Linked DNA regions of Caenorhabditis elegans. The protein of the gene in region 1 interacts with the protein of each later gene in a pairwise test. Each region holds a gene or a part of one and is shown in the gene's direction. Other genes may lie near its edges.

The links.
Region 2: the proteins of spc-1 (region 1) and alr-1 interact in a two-hybrid assay, tested with the Caenorhabditis elegans proteins (one large-scale study listed by BioGRID).
Region 3: the proteins of spc-1 (region 1) and F44E2.3 interact in a two-hybrid assay, tested with the Caenorhabditis elegans proteins (one large-scale study listed by BioGRID).
Region 4: the proteins of spc-1 (region 1) and cyld-1 interact in a two-hybrid assay, tested with the Caenorhabditis elegans proteins (one large-scale study listed by BioGRID).

What each region holds. Positions count from the first base shown.
Region 1 is NC_003284.9:3,123,711-3,129,135, reverse strand, and holds the start of spc-1 (Spectrin alpha chain), read left to right. Parts: upstream 1-2,074; coding exon 2,075-2,277; intron 2,278-2,330; coding exon 2,331-2,415; intron 2,416-3,392; coding exon 3,393-3,518; intron 3,519-3,570; coding exon 3,571-5,151; intron 5,152-5,194; coding exon 5,195-5,425.
Region 2 is NC_003284.9:11,120,891-11,127,725, reverse strand, and holds alr-1 (Homeobox ARX homolog alr-1), read left to right. Parts: upstream 1-2,105; 5' UTR 2,106-2,167; coding exon 2,168-2,296; intron 2,297-2,340; coding exon 2,341-2,464; intron 2,465-2,517; coding exon 2,518-2,704; intron 2,705-2,782; exon of another isoform or gene 2,783-3,075; intron 3,076-3,508; exon of another isoform or gene 3,509-3,655; intron 3,656-3,708; coding exon 3,709-3,754; intron 3,755-4,449; coding exon 4,450-4,627; intron 4,628-4,704; coding exon 4,705-5,129; 3' UTR 5,130-5,855; downstream 5,856-6,835. Other genes in the region: R08B4.3 (CULT domain-containing protein), read left to right, coding at 6,806-6,835. UniProt on the Caenorhabditis elegans protein: Transcription factor. Involved in activating or repressing transcription of genes in neurons. Regulates expression of nuclear hormone receptor odr-7 and LIM homeodomain protein lin-11 in AWA and ASG chemosensory neurons.
Region 3 is NC_003281.10:8,826,216-8,831,148, reverse strand, and holds F44E2.3 (uncharacterized protein), read left to right. Parts: upstream 1-1,843; 5' UTR 1,844-1,861; coding exon 1,862-1,989; intron 1,990-2,036; coding exon 2,037-2,138; intron 2,139-2,645; coding exon 2,646-2,766; intron 2,767-2,814; coding exon 2,815-2,952; intron 2,953-3,020; coding exon 3,021-3,104; intron 3,105-3,490; coding exon 3,491-3,652; 3' UTR 3,653-3,816; downstream 3,817-4,933. Other genes in the region: F44E2.10 (Malectin domain-containing protein), read left to right, coding at 40-187, 242-372, 421-623, 875-1,085, 1,182-1,301, 1,357-1,458; F54F2.9 (DnaJ homolog subfamily C member 1), read left to right, coding at 3,922-4,262, 4,688-4,933.
Region 4 is NC_003281.10:9,907,449-9,913,003, reverse strand, and holds the start of cyld-1 (ubiquitinyl hydrolase 1), read left to right. Parts: upstream 1-2,345; 5' UTR 2,346-2,346; coding exon 2,347-2,383; intron 2,384-2,435; coding exon 2,436-2,593; intron 2,594-2,648; coding exon 2,649-2,888; intron 2,889-3,281; coding exon 3,282-3,407; intron 3,408-3,687; coding exon 3,688-3,764; intron 3,765-3,807; coding exon 3,808-3,916; intron 3,917-5,555.

The sequences.
Region 1 (5,425 bases):
ATCAGAACCAGTCTGGAGATCCCACGAGAACATTTCGTATTAATTTTTAAAGTCAAAACTGCTTATATGAACTCATTTCTAACTCAAACTTGATTTGAGCTTTGTCAAAAATTCCAAAATCTGTTGATTTTAGTAAAAATCGTGAAAAAAAACGGGGGGTCCTATAGAAGTTTCACACTGGATTTTGACGTTTTTTCCAGCGCGACCTCAGTTTTTGAGATAAACTTCTGGAAAAAAATGTATATAGGTTTTTTTCAATTTAAAAACGAATGGCATTAGCAGTTTTTCAAAAAAATTTTCGGAAGTTCCTCAAACCTTCAAATTAGGGGGGGTCCTATAGAACTTTCCCACACTGTATTTTCTATAATGTTTTATTCTTCATTTCAAACAAAACTTCCGTTGGCATCAATGCCAAATTCTGACGTAAAATAAGAATTTGAAAGATGCTCTGCCCTCCGTCTTCAACGAAACGTCGCCCCGAGCTGTATCGAATTTCTTTGCCTCTTCTCAGAGTGTGACGAACTCGAAAACGAGAGAGAACTAATAGTTTTCATTTGTGTTTCCTTCTCCTTCATTGCCGTCCTTCACTCATGTGTCCGCAGGAAGTTTTCGAACGCAGGTGGCCTCCATCCGGCACTTGACAGATTTGGCGCGGCTCCCCGTTTCCGGTGTTTGCTCACTTTTGTTATGAACCAAAGCTTGACCATGTCACTTAAGAAAAAAGCCCTTGAAGAATCCCTTTTTCGGCTTTTTGTGTGGATGCTTTTAGATTTGATAGAATGGGGTCCCCTATTGTTTTAAATCATTCAGTTGTTTAGCGTAAGTGGATGTAGTTATTTGAGTTTGGAGGTTTTGTATCGTGGTTTTTAAACTAAAACGAATATTCTTTTGTGCAAAGAAATTTCTAATTTGCTCATTTACTCACTTTTACTTCCAAATTTTGAAGTTATGTTTTTTCGGTTATCCTTCCCGCTTTCCCGCTTCCCGTTTTAATAATTTCTGTCACTTTCTCTTTCATCATCACTTCTTCCGTTCCAAATCGATTACCCAATTTTATTGACAACACATCAGTGAAACTTGCAAATATTTGGAGGACATACTTTATACTCCATCTCCGAATATATACATAAATGTGTGGTCGGTGGTGTGTGTGTTGGCGGAGACCCCGGAGAGAGAGAGAGAGTCAAACTGCGAGTAACTGGAGAGATGGAGGATGATGCATTCGGTGAGGGACTGTGTGCTGTTGAGAGGAAATCGCTGGCATTTAATAGAAGAGTGCGTTTTTGTGAGTGTGTGTGTGTGTGAGTGTGTGTGAGGGCAGTCAGAGCGCGGCTGTGTGCGAGGCTGAGCGGGACGAGCGCGTCCAGGCCTGCAGTCGTCTCCCCTCTTGTTGTCTCTGCTTCTCTAGCCACACTCTCTCGTTCTCTGCATTCGGTTTTGTGTTGGTGTTGTGGACGCGGGGGTCGTTTTGGGCGATCGATAGCTGCCAGCTCTTCTTGTACTTGAACCAGTTGAAGTCATCTCCTTTTTTCACTTTGAGAGCATATTCTTTCTTGTTTCATCATTTTCAAAATTTGCTGCATTGTGCAAAACCCCTTTTTTGTAATGTCTCTTCTGTTTCTGACAGCTGTGTGTTCAATTTCAACACAGCTTGTAAACGGCGGAGTCGGAGTTAGTCTGACTCATCGAAATATTGTTATCAGTTCAAAAATGTTGACAGTTGTGTGGGCTGGAAATGGAACCACCTTTTAAAATTACTTTTGACATGATATACTTTTTGAGTAACACTTTCTTGGTAAATTTTCATTCGTAGAATTTATAAGCTTATTAAATTAAAGCCACAAGCTTTCCCATTTTCTATTATTTTTTGTCTCCCAGGTGATTCTTTTCCGCACTTCGTCATTATTTGTTCCCACGTTGTATTTATCCTCTAAAGCTCTCTCTGATTTTTTTTGTTACATTCTTCTCATTTATTTGCTCATTTGTTTCTGTTACGGTCTCTTCATAATCAACTTTCTTTCATTTTCATTTCTATGGAGGTTTTAAAACAATTGTTTTTCAGCGAAATAAGATTATGGCTGATTCGAATGACACTCATGCTCCACCAGAGCCGGTGCTAGAAGTACCGCCACCACAGGAGATTCGTATTCTGGAGACTGCTGATGACATTCACCAACGTCGTCAGGAAGTATTAGGTCACTATTCAATTTTCAAGGATCACTCGCAGACAAAACGAGATCGTCTCGAGGAAGCTCGTCAGTTTCAATATTTCAAACGGTTAGTTCTAAAATTTTGTTGGGTTGTCTAGAATTCTAATTTTTCTGTTAAAGAGATGCTGATGAGTTGAACGTTTGGATTCTTGAAAAGCTCCAGACAGCTCAGGAAGAAAACTTCAGAGATCCGAGCAATCTCCAGGTTGGTACCATCTTCTCATTATTTCTCAGTCGTATTCATCATCTATTTCAAAGTTATCTAAAACATAAATTTTCTGTGGTTGGTCCCCAGCTTTCCATTCTCAATCCTTTTTGACGACAACTCGCACAATTCTTTTCTCTTGGTTCATTTTCCCTCGGGGGGACACTCGGACCCCTTTCTTCTGCTGCCTTGTTTGGGGGCACACAAATGTCTTTTGGGAGCAACGACAAAGGCGCAGCAGCAAAAATATATTGATTTGAGTGGTTCGCTTCAGCGCTTTTCTCTGTGCCTTCGTTTCGAGAAACGCATCTGCGACCCCCAACATGCATGCTCACTTGAAGATTAGGAACTGAAAGCAATGTAGTGCACAATTACATTTATAAACAATTGGCTCGAGTAGAGAGGAGTACATGTGAATTTTGCTAACTTAGTTATTTTCTGGGAAGCAGAAAAGATGAAAATGAAATCTTTTTACACAATATCGTCATTTTGGAAGATATGAGCGCTAGAAATTAGGAGTTAAAAAGTCTTTGAGGAAACAATTTTTTACTGCTCCTAATATCATTCACCTTTACTTATAATGAAACACACTGAAAACCCAATAAATTCCTGTGGGGGTTCCAATTAATCCTCGCCGCCGTTTTTTATCATGCGTTCCGATCGAAAGATGAGATGAATACATATAGTAATAGACGGGAATCTATAAAAAGTCGGGCGTTCGTACACGGCCTTGACACTGCGTAATCGCAACTGACGTGACCTGACTTGATCCGCCGGTTTCCTGTAATGCCTGGAATGATAAGTAATACTGACGAGTAAGAAGATAGATGAGGCGATTATGTTTCTGTTGCTAGGTTTAGCGGTTGAAAAAAAAATGAGAGTAAGAGTTGACTAGTTTTGAAGCATGAATTGAAAGAGAAAATTTTTTTACATCAAAATGAAAGTATGATCAAATGTAAATCATAAAACATTTTCAGGCCAAGATCCAGAAGCATGAAGCGTTCGAAGCTGAGGTTCAAGCTCACGCTAAGACCATCGCCAACCTCGACAAGACCGGAAACGCTATGATCCAACACAATCATTTCGCTAGCGAACACATCAAGGTACTTAAAATCACTAAAGACATTTGACAGTCTGATGATTAATTATTTTCAGAAACGCTTGGAAGAGTTGCACGCCCTCTGGGATAAGCTCTTCTTCAAACTGAAGGATAAGGGAATTAAGCTACAACAAGCACTTAAACTTTTGCATTTTATTCGTCAATGCGATGAAATTCTCTACTGGATTCGAGAGAAGGAAACCTATGTCACCGCAGAAGACATGGGAATGGATCTCGAACACGTTGAGATACTTCAGCGTAAATTTGACGACTTTTTGAAAGAACTCGGTAACCATCAGTACCGAATCAATGAGATCAATCAAGCTGCTGACAAACTTGTCGAGGAGGGACACTCTGAGCACGATCAGATCTACAAGAAGCGCGATGACGTTAATGATGCTTGGCATCGTTTGAACACTTTGGCGGCCACTCGTAAGGAAGGGCTCTTTGGAGCTCATCAAGTTCAACGCTTCAATCGCGATGCAGACGAGACCCTTGCATGGATTGGAGAGAAGGATCTTGCTTTGTCAAGCGATGATTACGGAAGAGACCTCAATAATGTTCAAGCTCTTCAACGCAAGCATGAAGGAACTGAACGTGATCTTGCTGCTCTTGAAGGAAAGATGCTCCAATTGGAGAAAGAAGCTCATAAGTTGGCAGAAACTCATCCAGATCGTGCTGAAGCGATTCATCAAAAGAACGATGACACCAAAGCCGCCTGGAATGCACTCAAGGAGAAGGCTCAACACCGCAAAGATGGACTTGAGAGAAGCTTCCAGCTTCATCGTTTCTTGGCCGACTACCGTGACTTGATTAGCTGGATTGGAGACATGAAAGCTGTCATCGGAGCTGATGAGCTTGCAAAAGACGTGGCTGGCGCTGAAGCTCTTCTTGAAAGTCATCAAGAACACAAGGGAGAAATTGATGCTCGTGCTGACTCGTTCAACCAAACTGCATCCGCTGGACAAAAGCTCGTTGAGATGGGAATTCCAGAGAGTCCAGAAGTTCAGGAGAAGCTCGAGAAACTTGACCACGAGAAGTCTTCTCTTCTTGGATTGTGGGAGGAACGTCGTATTCTCTACGAGCAATGTATGGATCTCCAACTCTTCTATCGTGACACTGAACAAGCCGAAACCTGGATGAACAAGCAGGAAGCGTTCCTTGCCAACACTGATTTGGGAGATTCACTAGATTCTGTCGAGCACCTCATCAAGAAACACGAGGACTTTGAGAAATCGCTTGCTGCTCAAGAGGAGAAGATCAATGCACTTGACGAGTTTGCTACCAAGCTCATTCAAGGACAGCATTACGCTGCTGATGATGTTGCCGAGAGACGCCAAGCTCTTCTTGACCGTCGTCGTCGTCTTCTAGACAGAGCTCGTCAACGTGGAAATGCTCTCAAGGAAAGCTACAAGCGCCAGACATTTGACCGTGACTGTGATGAGATGGTTAGCTGGATCACTGAAAAACTGTCCACCGCTCGTGACGATTCTTACTTGGATCCTACCAACATTCGTGGAAAACTCCAAAAGCACATCAACTTTGAGCAAGAGCTTAAGGCTAACGAGAACCGTTTGGACGATATTCGTTCTACCGGAGAGCAAATCATCGATAGTGGACACTTTGCTGCTGATCATGTAAGTTATCAACTTTTTATAACTATTAGTAACTTTTTTTCAGATCGGAGACCGCCTTCGTCAAGTCAACAACTTGTGGAACGAATTGGTCGATGCTACAAACAAGAAGGGAGCCAAACTTCGTGAAGCTGGAAACGAACAGCAATTCAATCGCAACATTGAAGATGTTGAAGCATGGTTGTCGGAGCTTGAAGGACAAGTTGCTTCCGAGGATTATGGAAAAGATCTTGTATCTGTTCAAAACCTTCAGAAGAAGATTGGACTTATTGAGTCT
Region 2 (6,835 bases), 8.0 Mb from region 1:
ACCCAAACTACAACAGCAGATCTTGCTCTGTCCAAAACTACGGTGGTGTGCTCAAGACACTTGGTGGGCGGAGCCGGAAAAGAGTGGAGTGTTGCTCTCCCGGGTTGACACTTACCAAACCAATTGCCTCTATTTGTTACATTCATTTTTGATAATTGTATTAAAATTCGGTGTTTAATTTTTGTTTCCTCACTGATCTCCAAGATATGCAAAAACGTGTGCGTTTCGGAACTCCGTGACTTGTTTCATTTCCGGTGAATTAAACTATTTCCGAAAAAGTCGTTTTCCTTATTTTCCTTCTAATCCGAGTTACTAGAATTATTCGAATCAGTTTGCTTTGAGCTTAATTTTCCAAGCCTAATTGAATTAGAGGCTAGCTTCTGCGTTTACATCATTCTCAGGTATCGTGCAAATACACTCCGGATGGAGGAGGAAAAAGGCAAGACGAGGCACATCGAAAACAGAAAATTCAGATATTCCAACACAATAATTATATCATTACACATCTCGTAATATATGCACCGCCCGCCTCAAGATACCTCATCCATTAATGAACCTATTTAGAAATCCTATTAAGCTTTCCCTGCTTGCTTACCTCCTGGGTGTCCACTGTGACAGATTTCTCAATTCATGTTTTAATTTCTCTTTGTACTGAATTATAATTTTAATGTTTCAAGTTTTAATAATAACTTTGGTCTGCTTTTCGAAATGATAATTAATGTTTACTTTTAGTTTTTCAAAAATTCCAACTTGCTTTTTCTAGACTTTTCAAGAGAAATTTATTTTTTTGTAAAACGGTATATTTGCCGTTTGCACATCACACCTTTTGCCGGGAGCAGTACGGAGCCCACATTCTCATAATTTCATTAGTTAATGAAAATGTGGCAAATGGTAATTTGATCCTAACAGGAAAAGCGACCCCTTGGAGTGAGAGAGAGAGAGAAATTGAAAGACAAAGGTGAAAGGGCAGGAAAACAAGGAAAAATAATGTGTACCCCCTCCCCTTTTAAGCCCGCTTGCCCCCCCCCCCCCCCCCCGTCATTTTCGGTGGTTGGCAAAAGTCGCCATCTTTTAACACATTAACTAATTGAATATGTTGATCGCCATTCGGTTCTCGGTAGATTTTCTTATTTTCCAGGCAAAGGGAAAATCGAATTAGTCTAATTCATTGTCATAGCATGGTTTCCGTTTTGTGATCTTTTCACTGACAAGATTTGATAAGAAGTTCACTTTTTTTCTGTATTGGCGGTAAACATGAAAGTTGAGTAGATCTTATCAAATTAGACAATCAAAACCTCTAAATTCCATTAATATCAATCTGAACTGTTTTTCTTTTTTATTTATTCCAACTGTCGTAGAGATGTGTTTTCGAAATCCGCTTATCTGATTTGATTTCGACTTTTTAGTATCCCATCATCGTGATCTGTAAAATCTAGGAATATCTAATTTTAGACAGTGATTTTTTGGCATATATATAAAATCCTACTCATCATTTGTTTAAGGATTGAGGACATAAAAAGAGACAGAGGATATTGGGATAAACTAGCACTTAAGATTCAAAAATTTTGGAATTTGTGCGTTGTGCGTAAATGAAGAATTAGAATGCCTCACCATTCAAAATAACACTCACATTTTGTTAATTCGGCAAGCCATGTTGCCAAATCCTTTCGCCCACAATCAAATTATCTTCTTAAAATTCTATATTTGTCAGGTAGATCATCTCGAAATAAACCAGATAAACGCATCACTTTTTGGCTCTTCCCTTTTTTCCTAACATCATGTATTTTTACAAGGAAATATCAAAATACCGGGCTCAATCATCAGGCGATTTTGGGCGTGGACTTTTATTTGAACTAAGCTTTCTGTCTACTTTGATGAGTTCCAAGCTTCTTCTTGTAAAATTGAATTCATTTACTCATCATAGTAAAAATATTAATTTTTCTGAATGCAAATAAGTCCATGATTCAATTAGCTGACTTTACTTCTACACATCATATTATTCTCTAGCATTATCTTCATGTTGATTTGTCTTTTTTATTCGTTTCGTTTTATTCGTTTGATCATTTCTCATTGTTATTTTCAACATAAAGCTATACATTTTTTCCAGCTGTTTTCGCTTCCTTCTTTCAACTTTGGTAAATCGTTTCAACTTGGATTCACATTGTGTATGCCCGAGTTGAAGAAAGAAGACTCTTCCAAAGACGAGAAAGATCTAGACATGAACTGCCCGCCACTTCACAGGCCCAATGGAGCTGATTTGAATCAGTATTCAAAAAGTCTTATGGAACAGTTACAGGTAGCGTTGTTAAATATTTTTAAATTTTAACACGTCGTTTTTAGGCACAATTGTTTGCAAATCCAGCGTTACAGTTCCCATCATTTCCACCAGCTTTTTCTATTGCGGCGCTGACTAATAATCAGCATGAGCTGAAAGAAGACGATGGAAAGAAAACGCCCACTGGAGGTAAGATATTATTTTTTAATTTAATTTAATAAAATATATTCGTAAGTTTTCAGATAATATTTTAGAAGCTGCCTCAGTACTTGACAATAGAGAAAACGGATCCCCTTCAGATGGCACAAACAGTCCGGATGATAATGGAAAGAGGAAACAAAGAAGATACCGTACAACATTCAGTGCATTTCAGTTGGACGAGCTTGAGAAGGTGTTTGCCAGGACTCACTATCCAGATGTGTTCACTCGGTAAGAATGAGTTACTAATTAAATATGAAAATTTCACTTTCCTTCCCTTCTCCCTGAATTTGGAAACAGTTGTGTTGCGTTCTTACACCATATGGCACTAATTATCAATTTCAAACATTATAATGATCGAGGTCAAGTTCAGCATATTTCACCTTTTTTACCTTCTACATTTAACATTTCTTTTACAAATCCAATTTGAAATGAAAATGAAAAATGAAGTGGTGAAGAGGTGGGGAGGACAGGAAAAAGGCGAAACTCATAATGAAGCAATCATGCAAAATGCACAATATCAAGTGTCGCGTTGCGTGTGTTTGCGCACAGACGCTTTAATTGAAGAAGCACAAACTCATTTGCTCAATATTAGAGAGGGCCATTTAGTTTTACGAGGGTCGCATAATTTCTAGAACCAAGGGACTAGATTTTTATAAAATTAGATTAATTAAACAAACAATGTAGCGAGTAGAAATGTAATCTGTTGTTTTGGTAAAAGTTGGAAAGTATTATTTTGCTATTCAACTTTGAGCAGGCAACCAAATGCTTAATTTATTAATTTTTCAAACTCTGAAGGTTGCAAAGTATATACTGTTGGAGCTAGATCTTTGGAAAAAATCTGATTTTCATAGAAAAATTAGCGAATCCTAGACATTCTCACCTGTGATGATCTTATCGTGATCCTATCTTACTAACAAGAATTAACAGGAATTAAGACGTGGGTAGGTGTCTTGTGTAGGAAGAGCGTGACCACCTGTTCCGTTCATCAATTAGATATTGCACGGATTAATTACTGACTTTTGCCTCTTAAGCCATGCGTTTACCCAAAAACAATGCGTGATCAATTGACGCAGTGCCGAAAGAAGTACCAAGGTCCGGTCTCAATTCAGATCTAATTGAGCAATGACAATTGCTCCGGCGTGGTGCTACCATTCAAGAACCCCTCTTACTAGATTCCCCCTTCCTTTTAAAACCGCTTTCAAGTGCTTAATTACACCGAAAATCTTTTGCAGGGAAGAATTGGCAACACGAGTCCAGCTCACAGAGGCCCGAGTTCAAGTAAGTTACAGTAGGATTTCATCTCGAGATCTCTTCGCCCAAATTCATTTGATAATGCATAACGAATTATAAATGCGCCAATAGTGGGGCACATTGAAAAGGCAGTATTGGTCCCATCATGTGGTGGTGTTGGAATGACGCGACGAGATTGTGTAGATTGAATATATCACGAATGAGTACTTATACCCAGCGAATGAAAAAATTAGTTAAGCACGCGATGTTATCTAAATTGCTTCACGCGATTGCTTGCTAATCTCTTTTTTCTAATAGATCATCGTCACCTTGCTTTTAAATAAGGTAACGAGGGGGGACCAACACATTGGCGTTAATAGCTCATCTGCTCGGTTCATATTACAGTTATAATAAAATTAATGTCGATCTAATGCGATAAGTGGTATCTATTGTTAGGTAAGATACATGTTAGATTAAATCTAACCAATATAAAAATTGTTTTGTGACTTTTGAAACATTATTTAATCAATCAATAAAAAAATTATCATTGGGACTTGTATATCACAGTTAAACAGTAAGACGACCATTCGCATGTAAGAAAGTTAAACAAAGCAAATTCCGATGCATCATCTTTTAGAATATTTGTTTCAAGAATTAAGTAGTAAGAAAAACAAGCTTACAATTTAAATATTCTTGCGTAGTGAATCGTTTCCCAGCGTCATCTTCATCGTTATGTTTTTCAGGTTTGGTTTCAAAACAGACGAGCCAAGTATCGCAAACAAGAACGCAGCAGTACTCATCACCCTTATCAAGCTCCAATGAGTATTCCAAATTCAAATGGAGATAATCCGTACCAGATGATGCTCAGCCAAGAAGCTATTTTTGCAGCTATCAATCAGCAAGCCGCGGCTCATCTTTTAAGTAAGTTTTTTACTGTTATATACCAAATTGATAGTTCTTCATGCCTAGCGCAAGTTACTGCAACTATAAAATTTCAGATGAACAAGTACGGATTGCAACATCTGATCGTCGGTCTCAGTCCCCGTCTGTACCAGTGACCACATCTTCTCCAATCTTGCCAACTTCTGTGACACCTACGTTCCAAAACGCAGATGCATTAAATATGTTGTTCGGTGGAATTACTCCTGTTACGCAGCAGTTGCTTTATGTTCAACAATTCAGCAGAGCTATGGATGCTTTCCGCACTCAGCTTCTGGGATCAGTCCCAGCAGGAGCTACGGCTGAAGTCACCGATGTTGTAGCATTAAAAACTGAAGACTCGAAATCGAATAGTAGAGCGGGAAGCTCATCACCCACTCCAACTGAAAGTTCCGGAGCTGCTGCAACATCCACGAGTCCTACGAATTTTGCTGACATGAATAGTCTGATATCCGATGTGAAGCCAAAAGAAGAAAGTTCATGAGTAAACACAATTAAAAAAATTTCACTACAAAAATTAGAAATTCTCCTCTTTATTTGCATTTAATAGATTGCCTGGTCCAAAAAGTTATTCAACAAAATTTGCAATACACCTAACGTTTCATATGTGTGATTCCCGTCCTATATATTTTGAATATTCAAGATTTTGAAATGTTTTCCAAGTTTCCTTTCACAGTCCAAACACCCATATTCTCCTGACCGCCAATGTTCTCGATTACCTCGAAATGTAGGCATTAAAATGGTTTTCGGCTTTACTATACTCCAGCTTTTATTAGTTTGTGTCGTTGTTATACCGAAGTTAGCCGGTGAGCTCTTCGCCTTATTCAAATCCTCAACCTCCCCTTTTCAATGACAATTAGAATTCCTTGACTCAAATTGAAATCGGATCTCCATTTTCTCCACTCATCGTGACGTTTTGTTTTAAACTTACCTTTGTATTTTGTTTTCAACATTTCCTAATAATCCTTTGTCAAATCTATGTAGTTTGGGAAGCACTGTTCATAGATTATTTAATCAACGCTCGTGTTATACACTGAACAACAACCTCTTTTTTCTAAACTCGCCTCTTTAATTGTTAACTGAATCCAAAACACCAAAGGCCTCCCCTCTCCAAAATCTGTACTTTTGATTTGCATATAATATATATATATATTCACTGCACTTTTTCTTTCAAGATTTTTATTGGATTTTAATAAATTTAGTAAAATAACCTCTGGTACACTATAAAAATGAATCCTTCGAAGATCACAGTATAGTATTATTATTTTAAATAAATCGTAAAATGCAATTATGATAGATAGATAATACAAAATTAAACTTTTTTTCGGTAATTGTGTGATAACTGTACCCAAAATAGTATTCAATATTTTCCAGAAATAAAACGTAAATCCTTTCTGTATTGTAGGCTTAGAAAAAAATCGTTCATAAGCGTGAAATAAAAATACCAATAAAACACGTATGTTGACTATTATGGAAATTCCTCCATTTCGAACATTTTGGAGTACAACAACTACACAAGTATCGTTTTTCTTTTCTAGAGGCGTTTTCTTTTCCAGAGACTCATTCTGCTCACGATTGATAATTTCATCACGAAACGTCTTGAATGATACTCGAAAGTATTATTTGACTATTCAAAATTTGAAAAAGCATCTAAATTTATTTTTATATTTTTAATGTTATGGCTTGCCCGTTTTTTGTCAGCTATATTGGGACGATTAAAACAATCAACCTAAAAAAGTTTTCCTTCATTCAAATTTCGAAAATTAGCACGAATAAAAGTGCAAATAATACGTTAAAACGTATGAATTTGCAGAAAAAACATGCACAATTTTGTTTGTACGTTGGCTCCTCTTAACACGTATCCTTAAAACGAAAATTTAACAGAATTTAAACATTTTTGCAAGTTGTGACAGAAGTTCTTATAAAAATGTTACAATATTTGTAAGTGTATCTTGAAATAAATCTATTGAACGTGATAAACTGATTAAATTAGTATTATTTCCTCAAAATTCACCTAGAAATATACTTCAGAACATTTTTTGATACGTCGTACAAATTACGACAAACCCGGCGCAATGTGTAAAAACGGAGTATCGTTTGTACGTGGAAGTGGCCCATCACTTTACCTCCGAGGCATCGAGTATTTATCGATTCTTTGCTATGTGGATTCTTTTGATATTTGTATATATT
Region 3 (4,933 bases), on another chromosome or scaffold:
TAATTGGACATCGACCTCTTGTTCCCGTTTCCCTAATAAATGTCCGCTCATCCATTTTCCATCTCATTTCAAATTCGTGCATTTCAGATGAGCATCCAGCTTCTGCTCATCTCATTTCTCATTGTCGTCGTCTCGTCAGCAAAAACTGTGAATTTGAAGAATCGGGTCGTTGCTGCAGTGAATTGCGGTAAGATTTTCATGGAGATTTTATATTGAAATTGACTTTTTTATGTTATTCCAGGAGGCCCTGATGCTTTGGGAGCATATGGAATCGAGTATTCTGCAGATACGTCAGAGGATGGTGTCTCTTCAGATCATGGAATGCAATACTCATTCAATAATGCTGAAGTAGATGATATGGAAATTTATCAGGTAGATTTTAAATAATTCTAACTGGTTGATCGAAGAAATGTATTTCAGACTGAGAGATGGAGCAAAGAATCATTTAGTTACGATGTTCCAATCAGCGAGGATGGCGAGTACGTCATCATTCTGAAATTCTCGGAAGTCTACTTTCAAAAAGCTGGAGAAAAAATTTTCAATATAAGAATCAATTCACATCTGGCTGTCAAAAATCTAGACATTTTTGATGCAGCTGGCGGTCGAGGATTTGCCCATGATGTGTAAGATTTATTAAAATAATAATTCATATTTATTAAAATAACCAGCCGGTGTCGTTCGAGACTACGACTCGACCTCCTCCAATTGGCTTAAACTAAAGTTCGAAAAAAAAACTTTGTTTTAAATTTATATAAATAAACTTGTTTTTTTTTAATGGAATTTTAAATTTTATGTGAATTAGTGTTGGTCCGGCCTATATTGGACGGAAGGAAACTCTACTTTATATATAGTAAATGATGATTTTATTTTGCAGCTATATTCCAGTGGTTATCAAGGGTAGCTCTATTTCGGTGTCTGGACATTCAAGAGAATACAAAGGAAAAGTCATCATTGAGCTCTCAAAAGGTCCCCATGATAATCCGAAACTCAATGGATACGCTATTCTTCGTGGAACTGTTGAAGATCTGCCATCACCGCCAGAAAAATTCATTGTTGAAGATCATTTCCCGGAGGATTTTGACATTGTGAGTTGATATAGAGATAAAAATTAAATATATATTATGCAATAAATTCGAAGTTTTCACTATTTTTCGTAAACATTCAAATATAAAAATTTACAGTATGAAGACGATGCAACTGAAGATAGTTTCAAACCTCAAATCATCAGAGGAGATGAGCCTGACGAAGAAGAAATGTACAGTGCACCATCGGCGGCGGGAACGGAGAATCCATTTGAAAAGGTACAATTATATAAATTATTAACAGCTTTCTAATTGTTTTAAGTCTTTCCTACAGGAAACCATGAACATCTGGCTTCCGCTTGTCGCCATTCTTATCGTCGTTATTCCTATGATCTACGTAATTCAGATGAAAAACCAGGGAACTAGAAAAGATTGATGTTTTAAACATTTTTCCATTTGTTTGTTAGTATTTATATTTATTGATTTTATGTTCTCTGTGAGAAAAATATTGTGGGTTTTTTGATCTTTCACTTGTAAATATATTTCATGTCAACTAGGAATTTTTCTTTTTTTGTTTTGTTCTCAAGCTTAATTTATTATTTAAAATGCTCAACAAATGAAACAATTTTTGTTCGATTAATTCAATTGCAACTGCAAATTGGTCATGGCCGGCAATACTTGTGGACGTATTTCAACCATGGGGAATACTAGTCCACCGCCGTGTACAACGACAATTGGCGGGTCAATACACATACGCATCCTGCATTTTCTGTCTTCTTCAGTTTTATTTTTTCAGAATTTAACAATTCATTATTCAAATCGTTTCAGATTTTTCGATAATGTCGAGAAGATCACGAAGTCGTTCGAGGTCACCAAAAAGAGATCGAGAAGAAAGAAAAAGACGTGAGGACAGAGATCGTGATCGAGAAAGAAAACGAGACCGAAAGGATAGAGAGAGAAAACGGAGGTTTTTATATTTTTAAAATTCAATCAATAAAAGGTTCAAAGTTCCAGGCATCGAAGCTCATCGTCAGAAGGTTCACAAGCCGAACCACATCAATTGGGAAGTATTTTCAGAGAAGAGAGACGTCGACGAGAGAGAAATGAATCTCCAAAGTAAGATTTCAACTTTAATCGATATTTCTCCAGAATACGGAAACTCAAATAATTTTCATATTTCAAAAAATCACACTTTTTGAAGTTAGACAATTATTTGTTTATAAAAGATTATTGTTTTTTCTTTTTGGTATCGAAGCGATCGATTTTATTCAATTCAAACAAGCTTTTAGGTGATTTTTCATAGTTTTTCGATTGAAAAATATTTCATTTTTTGAAAATATGAGAAAAAGCAATAAAAACAAATAAATTTCAAGTTAAATTCAGTGGAAATGAGAAGAAGTTGTAAACTACAGTACTCCTTAAAGGCGCACACACTTTTGCATTTTTGAAAATCGGTCACTTCAAGACCAGACAGCGTATTTTTAATGAAAATCGCAAAATTTCGAGTTTAGGTGGTAAGTTATAATAATTGTCAAGTGAGAAAAACTACTATCTCCATGAACATATCATGTTAAAGTTTTAAAATCCAGTTTGAAGATAGTTTATAACCTGTTTTTCGTTAAGACTTCCACCTCCTCCTCCACCACCACCGTCGGATCCCCCAGTTGACACAAGCATCCCATTCGACGTGAGCACTTTGAACGAACCAACTAAAAAATGGCTGGAAGAGAAGATTGTTGAGCAGGTAATTAATTTCTTTCCAATTTTGTCGTTTTAAAAGCATATGGTTCAGGTATCGGCTCGTGTACATCAACTGGAAGCAATGATGGCTGAAAAAGCGACATCGGCAAGAAATGAGATGGAAAAGATGTTGAGAGCTCAAATCGAAGCAGAAATGGCAGTAGAATTGGCGGAATGCAAGAAACGGGATGTTAGTTTTTTTTCTACTTTATAAAACATTTCCTCTCCTCTACAAAGGTTAATGTTACCAGTTTTCAGGAAGAATCTCGTAAAAAGTGCAAACAATTGGAAGCAGAACTAGAAAGAAAAGTTCTGGAAGCTGAAGAAAGTCGCAAGAAATTTGTAAGTTGTCTCCTCCAACTTCAAGAATGCAAATATTCCAATTATACGAAAGATCTACGAAATCTGCCGGATTCTATTCATTTTTCTACATCTTTTCAGCAGCTTATAAGATATCAAATATCTATTTCTCGTCTTGAACATTTTTCTTAATTTTTCTCTCTTTTTCTCCTCAATTAATTCCATTTCCTCTTTGATTTATACAATTTTGTGTGCCAACAAACGAAAGGACATGTCGTCGCTGATGATTCGGCCCCCCGTCTAGCAGGTATTTGTGCAAGGATATCATCTTCATCTTCAACGCGAGTCACAATCAATTTTAGATTTTATTAGTTTAAATTAAATCAAATTTCCGCACTTCGACCTAATTTAACAGTTATTCATTTCAGGAGGAAGATCGTTTGGCAATGCTTGAGCAAAAGAGCCAATTGGAACGAGATCGTGCTGAACTTGCACGTCAGAAATCGGACATGAAAAAGAATGAGCAGCAGGCGATATTGAACAAATCAGGCAACTCTCGGGCTCCGATTAAATTCAAATTTGGGAAATGAGCACAAGATGAACAAATCGCCTGTGCACCTGACTTTACCTCGCCGATCTCTTCACTCACTTCTTTCAGAGTTTATTATTTTTTGTTTAATGAAGCCACTTTAAAATTTAATTGTCTTCGCTTCAAAATTTCGTAAAACCAAATAAAAAACTTTGTTATTTATTATTTTTTGTTGGTCCAATAATAAAAATGTATACGTAAATCGTTTAAATCTCTAATTTTTATAGATTAAAAAAATTTGGTTGAATTTTCTGAAATATTTATTGCAGAATGCGGGTCATCCTTCTCCTTGCCTTCCTAATATCCTTAACAGAATGTCAATGGACATCAGAAGATTTGGCTCTATATGATTTAGTGGAAGAAGTCGGAGTTAATTTCTACGAGTGGTTCGATATTCCACGAGATGCCTCGTCGAATCAAGTAAAGAAAGCATATCGAAAATTGACACTTGAATGGCATCCGGATAGGAATTCTGCGCCTGATGCTACGGAAAAGTTTCGTCAAGTTGCTGGAATCTATGAAGTTTTGAAGACTACAGAACTTCGTGAAAAATATGATAATGTTCTGGAAAATGGGTTACCTTCGTGGAGGCATCCTATGTATTACTATAGGTGAGGGAATTCACATAGTGGTTTTTATTTTTGAAAATTGGAAAAAAAATGTACAGAAAAATACGAGAAAACTACATAAGATTGTTATTGTTTTTCTTAAAAAATTATGCTTTTTGACTGTAAATATATTCTTAAAATTTGAATGAGTTTTCCAATTAATCATATAAATAGTTTAAAAAAATCCCCATTGCTATTATACGTTTTGCGATGGTTTCAAAAAAAAAGTAACTAGGTTTGCCCAATAAAAGTTGCGTGACAATCTTAAATCTGATCAAATTCAGAAATAAAATGCAATGTGTTAGTCTTAAAAATTGGCAGAAATACCAAAATATTTTCCTTCCCATTCCACCATATTCCATATCACATGGTTAACTGAAATAATTCGGATTTTTTTAAAATAGTGTTTTATAAATAATTTTTTCCAGACGAATGCGAAAACTTGCATGGTATGAAGGAATCCTTGTGCTTCTTTTTATCGGAACTATCGCTCATTACCTGATGATGTGGGCGGCATATTTCGAGAAAACTCTTGTCTACAAACAAAATGTGAAAAAATCGCGAAAATCGAAAAAAGAAGATCCAGCGGAAGCAGAAAAATTGATGAAACAAGCACTTGAAGAGTATCTTCCAAAATATTCAGAACTTCTTCCAATTATTCTTGCTAGAGGTAC
Region 4 (5,555 bases), on another chromosome or scaffold:
ATTGATAGTGAGTCACAAATATTTACAGGTAAAGTAGCTCTAACTAAATAATACGGTAAAACTTTTCAAAATTAATTTTTAAAAATTTTGGCATTAATAAGTGACTGAACATTTTTGGCAGTTTGCCAAAACTTTTACTGTGAATTTTCACATTTCTGGAAAATGTAAAAATTCTTTATTAATAATAAATATAATACTATTTTCTAGCAAATGAAAAGTTATCTGTTTAGATATATAATTGTACATATTTGGTAATCAAGAAAATGTTGAAATATTTCTTGCGAAACCTCTCTGACCATGTGCCAAGAGAATTAGACACACTGGCAAAAAGAAACGCGGCAGTTTGAATTTAATATTTTTTTTGTATTCAGTTTCCGTCCTACCTGGCTAGATAATATATTTTTCACTTCTATATTAATAGTTTTTCTCCAAGTTAGTTTTTCAATTAATTTTTTTTAAAATCCTATTTCTCTCTTCAAATTCTAAGTATTTTATCTCAAACTCCTTTTAAAAAGCGACTACTGGAGACTTTAAGATGAGCCCCGGTTATTATTATCGCTACGAGACCCATCTGAATGAATCCGTGCGTCTTTAAGTTCACATTATAGTATTATGGTTCCAAACTTAAGGCCACACAATAGTTCAACACACGTCATTTCTAGCTAAAAAATATTATCTTGAATAACTCAATGTTCAATAGGAGAGACGAAAAGATAATTTAATGTATTTTCTGTTGATACTTTTAACTATTAATTTTGTTTATTAAATGTGATAACTTCCACTATTCCATAAGATGGATTCAGTTACATTTTTATTGCATTCAATTGTTGTTTATATTGGTGCGCAAGTCCAATCGAATGCGTTGTCCGTCTATCCTCAAGAGAACCGGTCTTTCCGTTTCCTCGACTTTTATCGATTTTTGCATTGAACTGCGTGTTCGGTTTGATTTAAAAAAGGTTCTGTATTTTTTAATTTATATTTTAAATTTGAATTTTCAAAAAACTTTCCAGCTACATTTCGAGTTCTCGTCTTCTTCAAAATGTCCAATCTTTTTGACAAATAAACTCATGTGCCTGGACCGCACTCAAACAAACGTACATGCAATCTGAATGTTACATCTTTTCTTTATTTATCTCAAAAAATTTGTATTTACCCAAATACTCATTTAAATAGCCACAACATTTTTAGTCATGTTGGTACCCTTGAAAAGGTTGCTCTAAACTTTAAATTGTCAATTTGAAGCTCTATTTGAGATGGGGTGGGCTCTGGGAATCTTGTTATCTGCTCACTGGGTTTTTGTCGGTTTTCTTTCATTCTAAAGCAATTCTGGATATTTTTGAAATTTTGATTTCTGAAAACTTTCCACTTTCCACTTTCCACTAACTACTATCTTTTTTCTTCGTTTTATTTCAAAAAGAAAGAAATAAAGCGAAAAATTATGTTAACCTGTCGCTAAATATCGGAAAATCTCATATTGGCTGGGTACCGCCACGCGATGTATAATTAAAATAAAATTTTAGTGTGTGCGCCTTTAAATGTTACTGTAGAATTTTAACAATGTTTTTTTAACTATAAAAACAATTAATTTTGAGTTAAATAACAAAATAATGGAACATTTTAAAAAAATTAGAAGACACAATAATTTTCTTTCCGCAAATAAAATCGAAGAAAACAAGCCTAGAAATTGTACAGTAACAGGCGCAGACACCAAAACTTTATTTCCAGCGCGCGCGGCGAGACCCATCCGCAGACATGCACCTCCCTTGAAACATGTTTGAATTTTTATTTTTGTTTTGTTTCATTTAAATGCATTTTTGAACATTTTCAGCGATTTTTAAAGATTTTTTCGTCGTAAATTCCGTAATAAATTTTTCAGAAACATGCTCAACCTTTGCCTACATTTTTTCGCATAAAATTTACCATTTTTGAAGAGAATCGCAATTTTAAATGGCATTTGCAACATAAACTATCTGCTCCGCAAGCCTCTTATCATTTTCCCTCGCTTTCTGTAAATAATTGTGTCAAAGCTCTCGTTCTCTCATTCTCTTTCGAAAACGTTCTCTGTCATTTGCTTGCTCGATGTTTTATTTTTCGGCAAAAAAAACCTAGCGCGCAAGGAAAACCCGAGGTCAAAACCAAAAATATTATTCAACACCAAATAGGTATATGATGCGGAAGTCTAATAATTGTTTGGACAACGTCCTTTTCTATTTGCTCACCGAAACGTAACACTGAGCTTCGCGCGCGCGCTTCGTCCACCGCTCTCCACTTATAGTACGAATCTTTATTTCATTTATTGAAATGTTGTCGTTCGTCAAACGTTCTAAACAACCCGCATATTTCAGAATGCCCGGCGAATTTGCAAAGTTTCCGGAGCAATCAGGTATTTTACGAAATAATAATAATTTTTTTTAAAACTATGTTTTTAATTTCAGCTGGATCTCATCAATTTCGTAACCCACTCGATGAACTTACGGGATCAAATACAATAACAAATTTAACTGCACACGATTTTGATTATTTTACACAGTCCGAGAAAAATTCAAATTTATATACAAGTGAAAATACAAGCAATTCTAACAGATTAAATCTCGTAAGTAACATTATTCTTGCTAAATCGATTTTTAAAAATTCGTTTTTTTTTTCAGAATCAAAATATACCGGTCGGCACATTAATAGATGGATTTGAGCTTATTAATGAAGCTTCTGGCTCCGGCTTTTTAGATGATCAATTAGTGGATGTTAGCGATTATAGCCGAGATAGGACGACGAAGCTGGATAGGAATAGGAATTCTCCCGAGCTAATAGTTGCTCTTTTGCAACGAAAAGTTCAAGGAATTCGATTTTCATCGAATTATGGAAGAGAGGAAGAACCATGTGTTATTGAGGTGATTGAAGTGGATTTAAATGAGGAAAATGAGCCAAAAAGACCGAATAGCGATAGTTTTCGGGGAAAAAAACAGAATTTCATCTAAAATCGCCAATTCTCCGTGTCGTAGCTGCCGAAATTTGATTTTTATTTATTTTTTGTCATCTTTAAGTTTTTTAAACGCTTTTTTTGTTGATTTAGGTAATTTTTGAGCCGATAATCGATTGATCAACGGAGAAACAACCAAAATATGAGAAAAAAATCCGGCCGACACTCAAAAGCGTGCATAATTTGATGTTTTAGCTGAAATCATGTTTTTGTAAAGCATTTTGGAGAAGTTTCGTTATGAAATTTGGTCTTTTGCTTATTTTTTCCACAATTAAACATTTTTAATTTTATTTTCTATTTTCAGATCCCACCAGGAACAATGGTTCGCGAAATGGCAGATGATGATTGGAAAATGTCTGAATTAAAAGAATGGTTCACAAAATCAAGAGCTTCTTCGCATTTACGTGATGGATTAGCAATGCCCATGGAGGTATCGTAATTACCCTGATTTTTGCGGCTAAAACTACGGTAGCGGGTCTCGACGCGACAAATTTAAAAGAACTGTAATTCAAAATTTTCGTTCCCGGCGAATTTTCATTGAATTTGTATAGTTTTTCTCCAGAATTCTTGTTTTTTTTTTTGAAAAAACGATTAAAAAATCGATAAAAATTCCAAAAATTTGTCGTTTCGAGATCGGCTACCGTATTTTTGGCACAAAATTTTTCGTCAAATTAATGCCTTTTCAGTTTCTCAATTTTTTTAAATTTCAGGAACTCGACTGCACTCCTCTGATTTGTGCAATGATTACCAGATCCGATGTAATGAGAATAAACCAAGATCAAGCAATGTATATTTATTATCTTTATAAATAAAATTTTTTCCCTTTTCAGACATCTTCTGGCTGTCAGTGTAGAGAAACGAATAGAAGTTTATCAAAATTTCGAATGGTTCAATTTCATTCTGAATCTGAAAATTGGCGATTCTGTTTCTGTGGAAGTGGTAAGTATTTGAAATTATATGTTTCTCAAAGGAATCTAGTTTTTAACCAAAAAAAAAGAAAAATAAAACAACGAATTCAAAATAAAGAGACGCAGACGAGAAATGGGCGTCTCCTTGTATTCAGAATTAGACTGTCACACGTGACTGATTGAAATTCCGATGGCATGACTAACTTATAAGTTTCTTGAAAATAATATAATGGGATAGGAATTAATGGCCCACGAGTCACATTTTTTGCTAGGCCTCTGTAAATTCCGCTCTGACAAAGTCAATTTTCCGGCTTTAATTAAAAAAAAAAACGAATTTTTTTGAAAATCGAAAAAAAATTGGAGTCTCTTGCTCGAATAATGAAATTTTTTTGTTTTTTCGAATGAAATAGTGATTGTGCCTCATCTTAAATAGTTTACTAGTGTCCAAAAAATCGAGAAATTTTCGTTTTTATTTTTTATTCTCAAACTCTCGATTTATATTTATCTCTTCTGGTCCGGGAAAAAATTAAATCCGGGAAAATTTCAAATGTACAAAAAAAATACATCCACATAGATTATGATACTTCTGATAAAGGGTGTCGTTTTTCGGTTTTTCCAAAATAGAAAAATTGGAAATCGAAAAACAAAAATTCTCGATTTTTCGAATTTTTAAAAATTTCGGAAAATCGAAAAATCAAAAAGACAATTTTTTTTCAGAAAATTAACCATAAAATATGATTTTTAAAGTTTAATTTCGTTTACATTGTTGAGAAAAAAACAAAACAATTTATTCTAAAATGAAGAACAATGAACAAAATTTTAAAGCTAATTTTAGAAAAATCGAAAAATGAAATAGAGAACCGGTTCACGATATCATTGACACTGACCGAAATATGTTTTATTGAACAACATCGAGAGGGATTAAGCATACAGTCGGCAGAAAATTGAGAAATTCTTTCAGTTTTAATTTTAATTTGAATCAGAAGCAAGGGCGTCGGGTTTTCAATTTTTGAAAAAACTAAAAATCGAAAAATCGAAAACTTTTTAGAAAAATCGAAAAATGAAAAGTTTTCGATTTTTCGATTTTTAGTTTTTTCAAAAATTGAAAACCCGACGCCCTTGCTTCTGATTCAAATTAAAATTAAAACTGAAAGAATTTCTCAATTTTCTGCCGACTGTATGCTTAATCCCTCTCGATGTTGTTCAATAAAACATATTTCGGTCAGTGTCAATGATATCGTGAACCGGTTCTCTATTTAGTTCTTTCTCTCTCTCTTTTCAACACAAAAAACATAGAGTTCCTCTTTCTCTGTGTGAAAGTATAAGTTATCCTCTTCTCTCTCTCTCTCTCTCTCTCTCTAACAAACTATTTGCCTGTTTAGTTGTTTCTTTCTTTCCTCTTCATCGTCTCAACCAACTTGTTTCTCATTTCATTGGCGACGCCCTTCCTTCTCCCAATTTGTTGTCATCGAACTTGAATTGATTGAAACAAAATCAGTTGGACAAACTTTTTTTGGTGATATTTTTCTTCTTTTTTTTGTCTGATGCACAATGATGTTTTGTTCGTTGGCTGACGCATTCGCTGCCCCGTTTTCAATTTCAGTTCCATTTTTTTTCATCCCTTTTCCATACAATCATTGCCTACCTACCTTTTTTCGTGACGCAGAAAA